Macaca mulatta: one gene and its partner. The protein of the gene in region 1 purifies or fractionates together with the protein of each later gene. This does not show direct contact. Links are inferred from orthologs where the notes say so. Each region holds a gene or a part of one and is shown in the gene's direction. Other genes may lie near its edges.

What was found. Proteins that work in one complex are often made in the same cells at the same time.
Region 2: the proteins of CUL4A (region 1) and PWP1 purify together in Homo sapiens (affinity purification with western blotting; 6 studies listed by BioGRID and IntAct, with this or other methods). This does not show direct contact. The link is inferred for Macaca mulatta from reciprocal best matches to the Homo sapiens genes CUL4A and PWP1.

The regions. Positions count from the first base shown.
Region 1 is NC_133422.1:107,484,769-107,489,303, forward strand, and holds part of CUL4A (cullin-4A), read left to right. Parts: intron 1-8; coding exon 9-127; intron 128-3,462; coding exon 3,463-3,655; intron 3,656-4,535. UniProt on the Homo sapiens protein: Core component of multiple cullin-RING-based E3 ubiquitin-protein ligase complexes which mediate the ubiquitination of target proteins. As a scaffold protein may contribute to catalysis through positioning of the substrate and the ubiquitin-conjugating enzyme.
Region 2 is NC_133416.1:114,886,808-114,891,342, forward strand, and holds part of PWP1 (periodic tryptophan protein 1 homolog), read left to right. Parts: intron 1-1,282; coding exon 1,283-1,341; intron 1,342-1,449; coding exon 1,450-1,637; intron 1,638-4,535.

The DNA.
Region 1 (4,535 bases):
CATCTCAGGGCTTGACCACTTACTGGACGAGAACAGAGTGCCGGACCTCGCGCAGATGTACCAGCTGTTCAGCCGGGTTAGGGGCGGGCAGCAGGCGCTGCTGCAGCACTGGAGCGAGTACATCAAGGTACTGGTGGGGTTTCGAGGCCACAGGCGCGGGCGTTTCCTGCAGGGAGCAGAGCCCCTCCTGAGAACACCCAGTGCCCTGACAAAGGGAACTGGGCTGCTGGAGGGCCGGTTGGCATTTTCATCATAGATGATAGGGTGGATGGTAGTGTTCCATCTGCTTCCCCATCACCAGTGTGAATTTGCTTTTTAAGATAACACCAGCAGTGATTAGCACCATCCAGGTAGAAAGTATAACTTAAAGATCAACAGTTTTGCTCTTCTTCATCAGCGTAAATATTGGTTTAATTCTAAATCATGATTTTTCTGAAAGTAATCATTTTTGTAAATCTGCTTGTCAGACAAGATCTCCTCATGCCCTTAGCTCAGTGAGAACTATTATCTATTTGGCATATTAGGTAGCTTTATAGACTTTATTTCTTAACAGACCAAATTTAGGATTTGTTACTTAAACTTTCGCTTTCATGTTTCGAAAGCATTTCTTTGGCATCCCTGACAAGCCCAATCTAACCCGTCATAGAGTGGCTTCTTGGGCAGTACCCTGAGTTTTCACGTGTCCTGCCCAGGAGAACAGCCCCTCGGTGCTGACATAGGACCTCCCTGAAGACTAGGGGCTCTCGGCCCAGGGCACCACCCCACCAAGGGGACACTTGTTGATGTGTGGAGACGTTTGTGGCTGTCTGAACAGAGAGGGCACTGCTTGCTCTGCTGGGCAGCCCCGGGGTGCTCCTGAATGCACGAGGCAGCCCTCACCACAGAGAATCGCCTGCCCAGAGTGCCAGTGTTGCCCAGCCCAAGAAACCTACTGAAGACCCTCTATAATGAGAAGCCATTCTCCAGATGCCCCTTACAGAAACAGGAGAACTGAGGCAAACATCAGGGCCCCTTCACAGATAACTCGTGTTTTCAGCGTGTGCCAGTTGCATGAATTTTCCAGCTTAAATGGTGAGCGTTTACCAGGAGTCTGTGTGTGTGCTTGCTGGTGACTATTCTTAGATCCCAGAATGAAAAGATAGATAAAATTTCCAGAGAATTACGCTGAGAGAAAAAAAAAAAAAGCCAATCGCAGATACTTAACATGTTATTGCATAACATTCTGGAAATGGCAAAATTTGGAAATGGAGGACAGATGAAAAGTTACCAGGGTGTAGGGATGGAGCGGGGTGTGTGGTTATAAAAGGCCCCAGGAGGTAGCCTTCTGCAGGAACTGTTGGGGTTTTGGCCGAGGTCTAGATGTGCACACCCAGATGAGTTACAAGTCAACTGGGCCATCTGAAAAAGACCTGGGGGGTTATCAGTGTCAGTATCCCGGTTGAGATACTGTTCTGTAGTTTTGCAAACTTGCCATTGGAGGAAACTATGGAAAACAAAGATACTGGGATTGCTTTGCTATTTTTACTATTATGCAGCACTTTCATTATCTCATAAGATTTCCATTAAGTAAAAAAGATAAATGAACACTTACGTGCTGCTTTATGGAATAATCAGACCTCAAGTCACGTATCAGTCCAGCTATGCAAAGCCGGCACACCTAGCAGCTCTCCCCACAAGGTCTTGTACAGCGACGTTGAATTGGAAGTTACAACTGAGTCACACTAAATTGGCCATAAAGCTACTGAAGATTTAGGTTTTTTGCCAGTGAGACAGTCTTCAGGGGATGAGAATATGTGCTAAAAAACTAGGAAAAGTTCACCTTTGCAGTTTCCAGTCTGGGTAATAAAAATCAGTGAGTGACCGTCACCCCTGAGTGTCAGCAGTAAGCAGTTATGCTATAACAAAATAGTGGTTTCCATTCAACTCCACATGCCGTTGTCAAAGTAAAGCTGTGCCCTTTCTGTTGGCATCTTTTTTTTTTTTTTTTTTTTTTTTTGAGACAGAGTCTCGCTCTGTCATCCAGGCTGGAGTGCCGTGGCATGATCTCAGCTCATTGCAACCTCTGCCTCCTGGGTTCAAGCATTTCCCTGCCTCAGCCTCCTGAGTAGCTGGGATTACAGGCTCCCGCCACCACACCCAGCTAATTTTTGTATTTTTAGTAGAGACGGGGTTTCACCATATTGTCCAGGCTGATCTTGAATTCTGGACCTCGTGATCCACCCGCCTCGGCCTCCCAAAGTGCTGGGATTACAGGCATGAGCCACTGCGCCCAGCCTTCTGTTGGCATCTTTCCACCGGCCAGCTACCTCGTGTGTGTGTGTGACATGTGAGTGCACGTGTGCATTGTATTGAGACACATTTTTTAAATCCAATAATTGTATTCAGTTCCTCTTGAGCAAATGTAGTTTATGTCATCAAATAGTTAACTTTTTTAGTGCCACACACTTTTAGGAATGTTTAATATAACATTTTTTAATTAAAAAAACAAACTAGGCTGGGCGCAGTGGCTCACGCCTGCAATCCTACCACTTTGGGAGGCCAAGGCGGGCGGATCATGAGATCAAGAGATCGAGACCATCCTGGCCAACATGATGAAACCCCCGACTCTACTAAAAGTACAAAACTTTGCCGGGTGTAGTGGTGTGCACCTGTAGTCCCAGCTACCTGGGAGAATCACTTGAAGCGGCAGGAGGAGGTTGCAGTGAGCCAAAATCATGCCACTGCACTCTAGCCTGGTGACAAAGCAAGACTCTGTCTCAAATAAAAAAAAAATACAAACTTAAAAAATGAGCTTTTCATTATTTGAAGTGATGGAGAAAGAAAACTAGCTAAGAAGTCCCAAGAGGTATATTTAATTAATAAGAATTACCTTGTCTTGGAGGAACTTACACATAAACATTCTTTTAAAAGCAATGGACATTTTCCCAGTCATTTGTAAGTTCTCTCAGAAACAGAATCGTAAAAACAAGGCATTAATAATGTGTTTAATTGTATATTCACATCAAGCACAGGGCTCATGCCTGTAAACCCAGCACTTCAGGAAATCACAGTGGGAGGGTTGCTTGAGGCCAGGAGTTCGAGACCAGCCTGGGCAGCATGACCGCGTCTCTACAAAACTTTAAAAAGATTGGCCAGATGTGCTGACCTGAGCCTGTAGCACCAACTACTCAGGAGGCTGAGGTGGGAGGATTGCTTGAGCTTGGGAGGTCGAGGCTGCGGTGAACCGTGATTGTACCACCGCACTCCAGCCTCGGCTACAGAGTGAGGCCCTGCCTTAAAAAATAAATCAAAAAGTATATTCACTTAATTTTTGAGATGTGAATTCAATTTGTGAAACTTTTAAAGTTATTGCTTACTACTAAGAGTAATTTGTATTAAACTATCCTGATTATATGATAGCAGGAAAAATATTGTTTGGTATTATAAACGTATTGCTGAGTTGGTATTGATTTGCTTTTGTAGACTTTTGGGACAGCGATCGTCATCAATCCTGAGAAAGATAAAGACATGGTCCAAGACCTGTTGGACTTCAAGGACAAGGTGGACCACGTGATCGAGGTCTGCTTCCAGAAGAACGAGCGGTTCGTCAACCTGATGAAGGAGTCCTTTGAGACGTTCATTAATAAGAGACCCAACAAGCCTGCAGAACTAATCGGTAGAAAAATATTTTCTTTTTTTTTTTTTTTTTTTTTTTTTGAGACGGTCTCACCCATTTCTAGACAATTTTTTAATGTGGGAAAATAAGGCACAATCAACCAAAATGTTCAAGCTGCTCAAGGGGTGTGTGGAAAACGTTTTTATCAAGTCTTATTAGGACACACGTTTAAAAACTGACACACCTGCATGCATGGGTGGAGGAGGGCATTTCCTTAAGGGAAGATGAAGGAGGAATTTAGAAAAGAAGTGACGCTTGACTTCGCCAAAGAAGGGAGATCACCATCTTTGTATCCTCTAATCAGTATTAAAATAGGATAAAACCAGATGAGATCTCAAAAGATAGCATATTTTAAAATACTGTTTTTAAGTTTTACAATTTTTTCACAATAATATCAAAATGTATTTCAGAATTCATGGGCTTTCTCATAGGCTTTCTTTAGTCAGTAAAATTTTTTAATTTGAAGGAGAAAGGGGGCAAAGAGAACTGTAATAGATGATACTAGATTGTTGATTACTGCTGAAGTGGAAGATGGAACATGGAGCTTATTGTGCAGTTGTCTACGTTTCTGTGTGTTCAAAATATTCTGTTACAAAATTTTGAAAAGAAAAAAACTAACAAACGCAACAGAAGGAATTCAGGAGGCAGTTTGCTTTGACTTTTATACCTCTGTATCATTGTGGTTTCTCTAAAGAAAAGGAATGTTGAGCTCTTGGGAATTTGGGCTTCTGGAAGTCGTGAGTTCCGCCATCACGTGGGCACTTTGATCCTCCCTCCCGAACCACCTTACGATGGCTTGTGCAGCCTCAGAAACAGGAAGCCCGAGTAGAAATGCTTTTACCCTGCGTTGCTGCCTTGGATGCCCTGAGAAAGTCTTTCT
Region 2 (4,535 bases), on another chromosome or scaffold:
TAGGGGTGTTTTTAAAAGGTACTGAAACATTGATTAGGTGAGGGAATGTCAGTTGTGAAGTAGAGAGATTGAATTCAGCTTTGAACCTGGTAATATTAGGCTAAAGGATATTCAGGTGGGAAGTCTTGTAGGCAGTTGGAGAAATGGAAAATGGAATACAAGATTAGAGAGAAGAAAGTTTGGAGTAATCAGTTCAGAGGTGGTGGTTTCAGTCTTGAGAATGAATGAGCTTTGCAAGGACGTGAGCCTGATGAGTGACGGTGTGGCAGTGATAATAGGGAAAAGAACAGAGGACTAGGCCAGGCGCAGTGGGTCACGCCTATAATCCCAGCACTTTGGAAGGCCGAGGCAGGTGGATCACGAGGTGAGGGGTTCGAGACCAGCCTGACCAACATGGTGAGACCCCTGTCTCTACTAAAAATACAAAAATTATCCAGGCATGGTGGCACATGCCTGTAATCCCAGCTACTCAGGAGGCTGAGGCAGGAGAATCGCTTGAACCCAGGAGGCGGAGGTTGCAGTGAGCCGAGATAGCGCCATTGCACTCCAGCCTGGGTGACACAGTGACACTCTGTCTCAAAAAAAACCCAAAAAAAACAGAAAACAGAGGACTAATTTAAGGGTGGTTTGTTAAGGAATGCCCCCAGGGAAGAGAGGGAGGTGCCCTAGATAGGGTCAGAGATAGTTGGAAGAAAACCAGAGGAGTACCACAGAGCCACTTTACCAAAACCAGTCTTTGGGGTTTTAAGACTGAGAGGTAGAGTAGAATGAGCATGAATTTTTGAAGTTTCAGGTGGGGAGGGATCTTAATTATAAGGATCTATGAAATCTATATTTTTTTTTTTTTTTTTTTGAGACGGAGTCTCACTCTGTCGCCCAGGCTGGAGTGCAGTGGCGCGATCTCGGCTCACTGCAAGCTCCGCCTCCCGGGTTCACGCCATTCTCCTGCCTCAGCCTCCCGAGTAGCTGGGACTACAGGCGCCCACAACCGCGCCCGGCTAATTTTTTGTATTTTTAGTAGAGACGGGGTTTCACCGTGGTCTCGATCTCCTGACCTTGTGATCCGCCCGCCTCGGCCTCCCAAAGTGCTGGGATTACAGGCGTGAGCCACCGCGCCCGGCGAAATCTATATTTTTTTAATGTAGAGTCTAGATGTTTGATTCTTATCTTGATGACATTGCTTGGCATTACATTTTACATTTGTTTGCAAACTACTTTTTAATTCAAAGAATTCTGATGATTTCCTTACACATATTGTAATGAAATCTTTGCTCTCTTACAGGTAGAGCTGAGTAAAGAAGAAGTAAAACGTCTCATTGCTGAGGCAAAGGAGAAATTGCAGTTAAGTTTAGGACCAGATGAAATCTGCATCTTAAATGATGACCAGGTGTGGTCTTGTTATTGGAAGGTGCCATTTGGGTGATTCTCTTTTTCTTTCTCTGCTCATAGAGAAGGTGGTGGTGGCAGTGATGAAGAGGAGATAGGCAGTCCTTCAGAAGATGGCATGCAGAGTGCACGCACCCAGGCACGCCCAAGAGAGCCCCTGGAGGATGGTGACCCAGAGGATGACAGGACGCTCGATGAGGATGAGCTGGCTGAGTACGACTTAGATAAATATGATGAGGAAGATGACCCAGGTTAGAGCGTATCCACTTCTACTGGTTTGTAATTATAAGCTTAATATGTTGGATCATGTTTGTGGTGTTCCAAAGCTTTACTCTTAGATTTTATTGTTCTTGATATCAGTAAGATAATCTGGTTGAAGACTTGGGCAGACAGCATGATTCCTAAACTAGTTTAGAAGATAAACTTTAACTCACTAATGTAAGATACAAATCTAGGATCTAAAAAAAAAAAGTACGGTGTATTTTATTGCATATATCAGGTTTAATCATTTGTAACCCACTTGTGAGTTTTTGTATGTAGTTACAATGCTATGGTGTGCTTGAACTTATATCCACGTACCTTTTCCTCAACTGCAGTCGGTTTTCTCAGAATACAGTAGTGCCCCCTTATCCACGGTTTTGCTTTCTTTGGTTTCAGTTAGCCACAGTCAACTACAGTCTGAAAATAGGTGAGTAAAGTACAGTTTTTTGAGAGAGATGACTTTCATATAACTTTTATTACAGTATATTATTATAATTATTTGATTCCTAGGTACATATAGGAAAAACAATGTATATAAGGTTTGTGTACTATCTGCGGTTTTAGACCACCACTAAGCGTCTTGGAATGTATCCCCTGTGGATAAGGGGGGACTACTGTGTGCATTTTGAGATGCTGTTGTTGGAGATAATTAGAAAAGGAGACCAGGTGCGGTGACTCACCCCTGTAATCTCGGCACTTTGGGAGGCCAAGACGGGTGGATCACTTGAGGTCAGGAGTTCAAGACCAGCCTGGCCAACGTGGCGAAACCCCGTCTCTACTAAAAATACAAAAATTAGCCAGGCATGGTGGCAGGCCCCTGTAATCCCAGCTACTCAGGAGGCTGAGGCAGGAGAATTGCTTGAACCTGGGAGGTGGAGGCTGCAGTGAGCCAAGATCGTACCACTGCGCTCCAGCCTGGGTAACACAGTGAGACTGCATCTCAAAAAGCAAAAGAAAATCATGGGTGGGAAGAGAAAAAGGAAATAGAGCAGAAGACAGATTAGAATTAGAAGTTTGTATAGAAAGCCTTGCGGGGGAATAAAGTGAGCTGAGATGACAACTATGTATATTGCTTTTCTGAGGGAAGTAAGTATAAAGATGAAAACGGTCTGACAAAAGCTGGGTAAGCTCGCTTTGTTTCTTTTGGAATGTGCTACCCTAAGTGGTTTGAGAAATAGGCATTTGGCACACTGAGCAGGTTAAATAAGTTATTTATTTAACTTGTAAATCTCAGTCTGCATATTTGGGAGCTGAAGGGACTCCTGGAATCCTGATAGCTAGAATCAGCTACTTCCAAGTTATAAAATCAAAATATAGATGATCTGAAACAAAAATTAACTCTTAATACAAATGTTATCTGTGACAAAGTAAAATCACAACTACCTGTTAAATCGCAGCTACCTGTTAAATTGGTGGTTAAAATACTACATAAGAAAGTCACAGCAGAGCTGAGCATGGTGGCTCATGTCTGTAATCCCAGCTACTTGGGAGGCTAAGGCAGCAGGATCGCTCAAGCCCAGGAGTTCAAGGCTGCAGTGAACTAAGATCACACTGCACTCCATCCTGGACGACAGTGAGACACCATGTCTAAATAATTTTAAAAGTTTTAAAGAGTCTTACAGCAATTATAATCAGACAATTAAAAATATCCGTGTTAGAGTATCATTGAAATGCTGAGTAAAATAATATACCTTTTGTGTGTATGAGACAGAATCTTGCTCTGTTGCCCAGGCTAGAGTGCTGTGGCGTGATCTCGGCTCACTGCAGCCTCCCAATCCCTAGTTCAAGCGATTCTCCTGCCTCAGCCTCCTGAGTGCTGAGATTACAGGCACACGCCACCACACCCAACTAATTTTTGTATTTTTAGTAGAGACGGGTTTCACCATGTTGGCCAGGATGGTCTCGATCTCCTGACCTCACGATCTGCCCGCCTTGGCCTGAAAAACTCCAGAGATGGGGAGAGGAAGGGTCAAAAATGACATTGAGGAAATAGTGTTAATTGTTAAAGCAAGGTAATACAAGGTTCATGATGCCCTCTCTACTAATGTTCATTTTTCAAAATTTCTATAATAGAACGTTTTAAAAAAATCAGACACATACGGGTTGATGGTGAGCACTTCCAGATACCCAATCTGTGGGGTATCTGGAAGAGCAGTGTGGTTGGAGTGTGTGCAGAATAGGACATGAGACATGGTCTGTGTTGGGCACAGGAAGAGCAGTAAACAACGGACATGCAATGAGAAATGAGGAAGTAGGTTCTGGATGGAGATGGGATTGACCAAAGTCAATTAGCTGTCTTGGCCTGAATGCCTCAGGCGGGGCATGTTTGAGCCCTGTAGATAACATTGTGGAGGTAGAACTGAGCCAAGTAAGAGGAAAATTTAGTGGAATGTGACAAACTATAGGAAGCCTTTAGTGCCAGAGCAGTGTTGAGCTTGACCTGATGTGTGTGATGGTAACAGCCTGGAAAAAGACCCAAAGAAGGGGAAATGCTTGGCAGGTTGATCTGCATGAGTGAAGCACAGAGAAGGTGGACGGGGAGTTGCTGGGAAGTCTGGGAAAAAGACTTACTGGGTCCCAGTAAACTTAGGATACCAGGCTTAGCAGTCTGTGTGTTCTCAGTGCGGGAGGAAATCATTAAAGGTTTTTGAGCATGGAACACATGATAATTGAACATGCACTTTAGGAAGTTAACTCTGGCAGCAGTGGAGAACAGGTTGGGAGATAGGGTGAATCTCTTAGAGGAGCAGAAACTTAAGACAAATTAGGCCAGAAGCAATGAGGGCCTGGCTTGGGGCACTAGGAATGAGGAGGAGAGGACATGGAAGAAAGGGATTGCAGAGGTAGCTGGGAGTTTTGCAGCATCCTTCCAGAATTGATATCTCTAG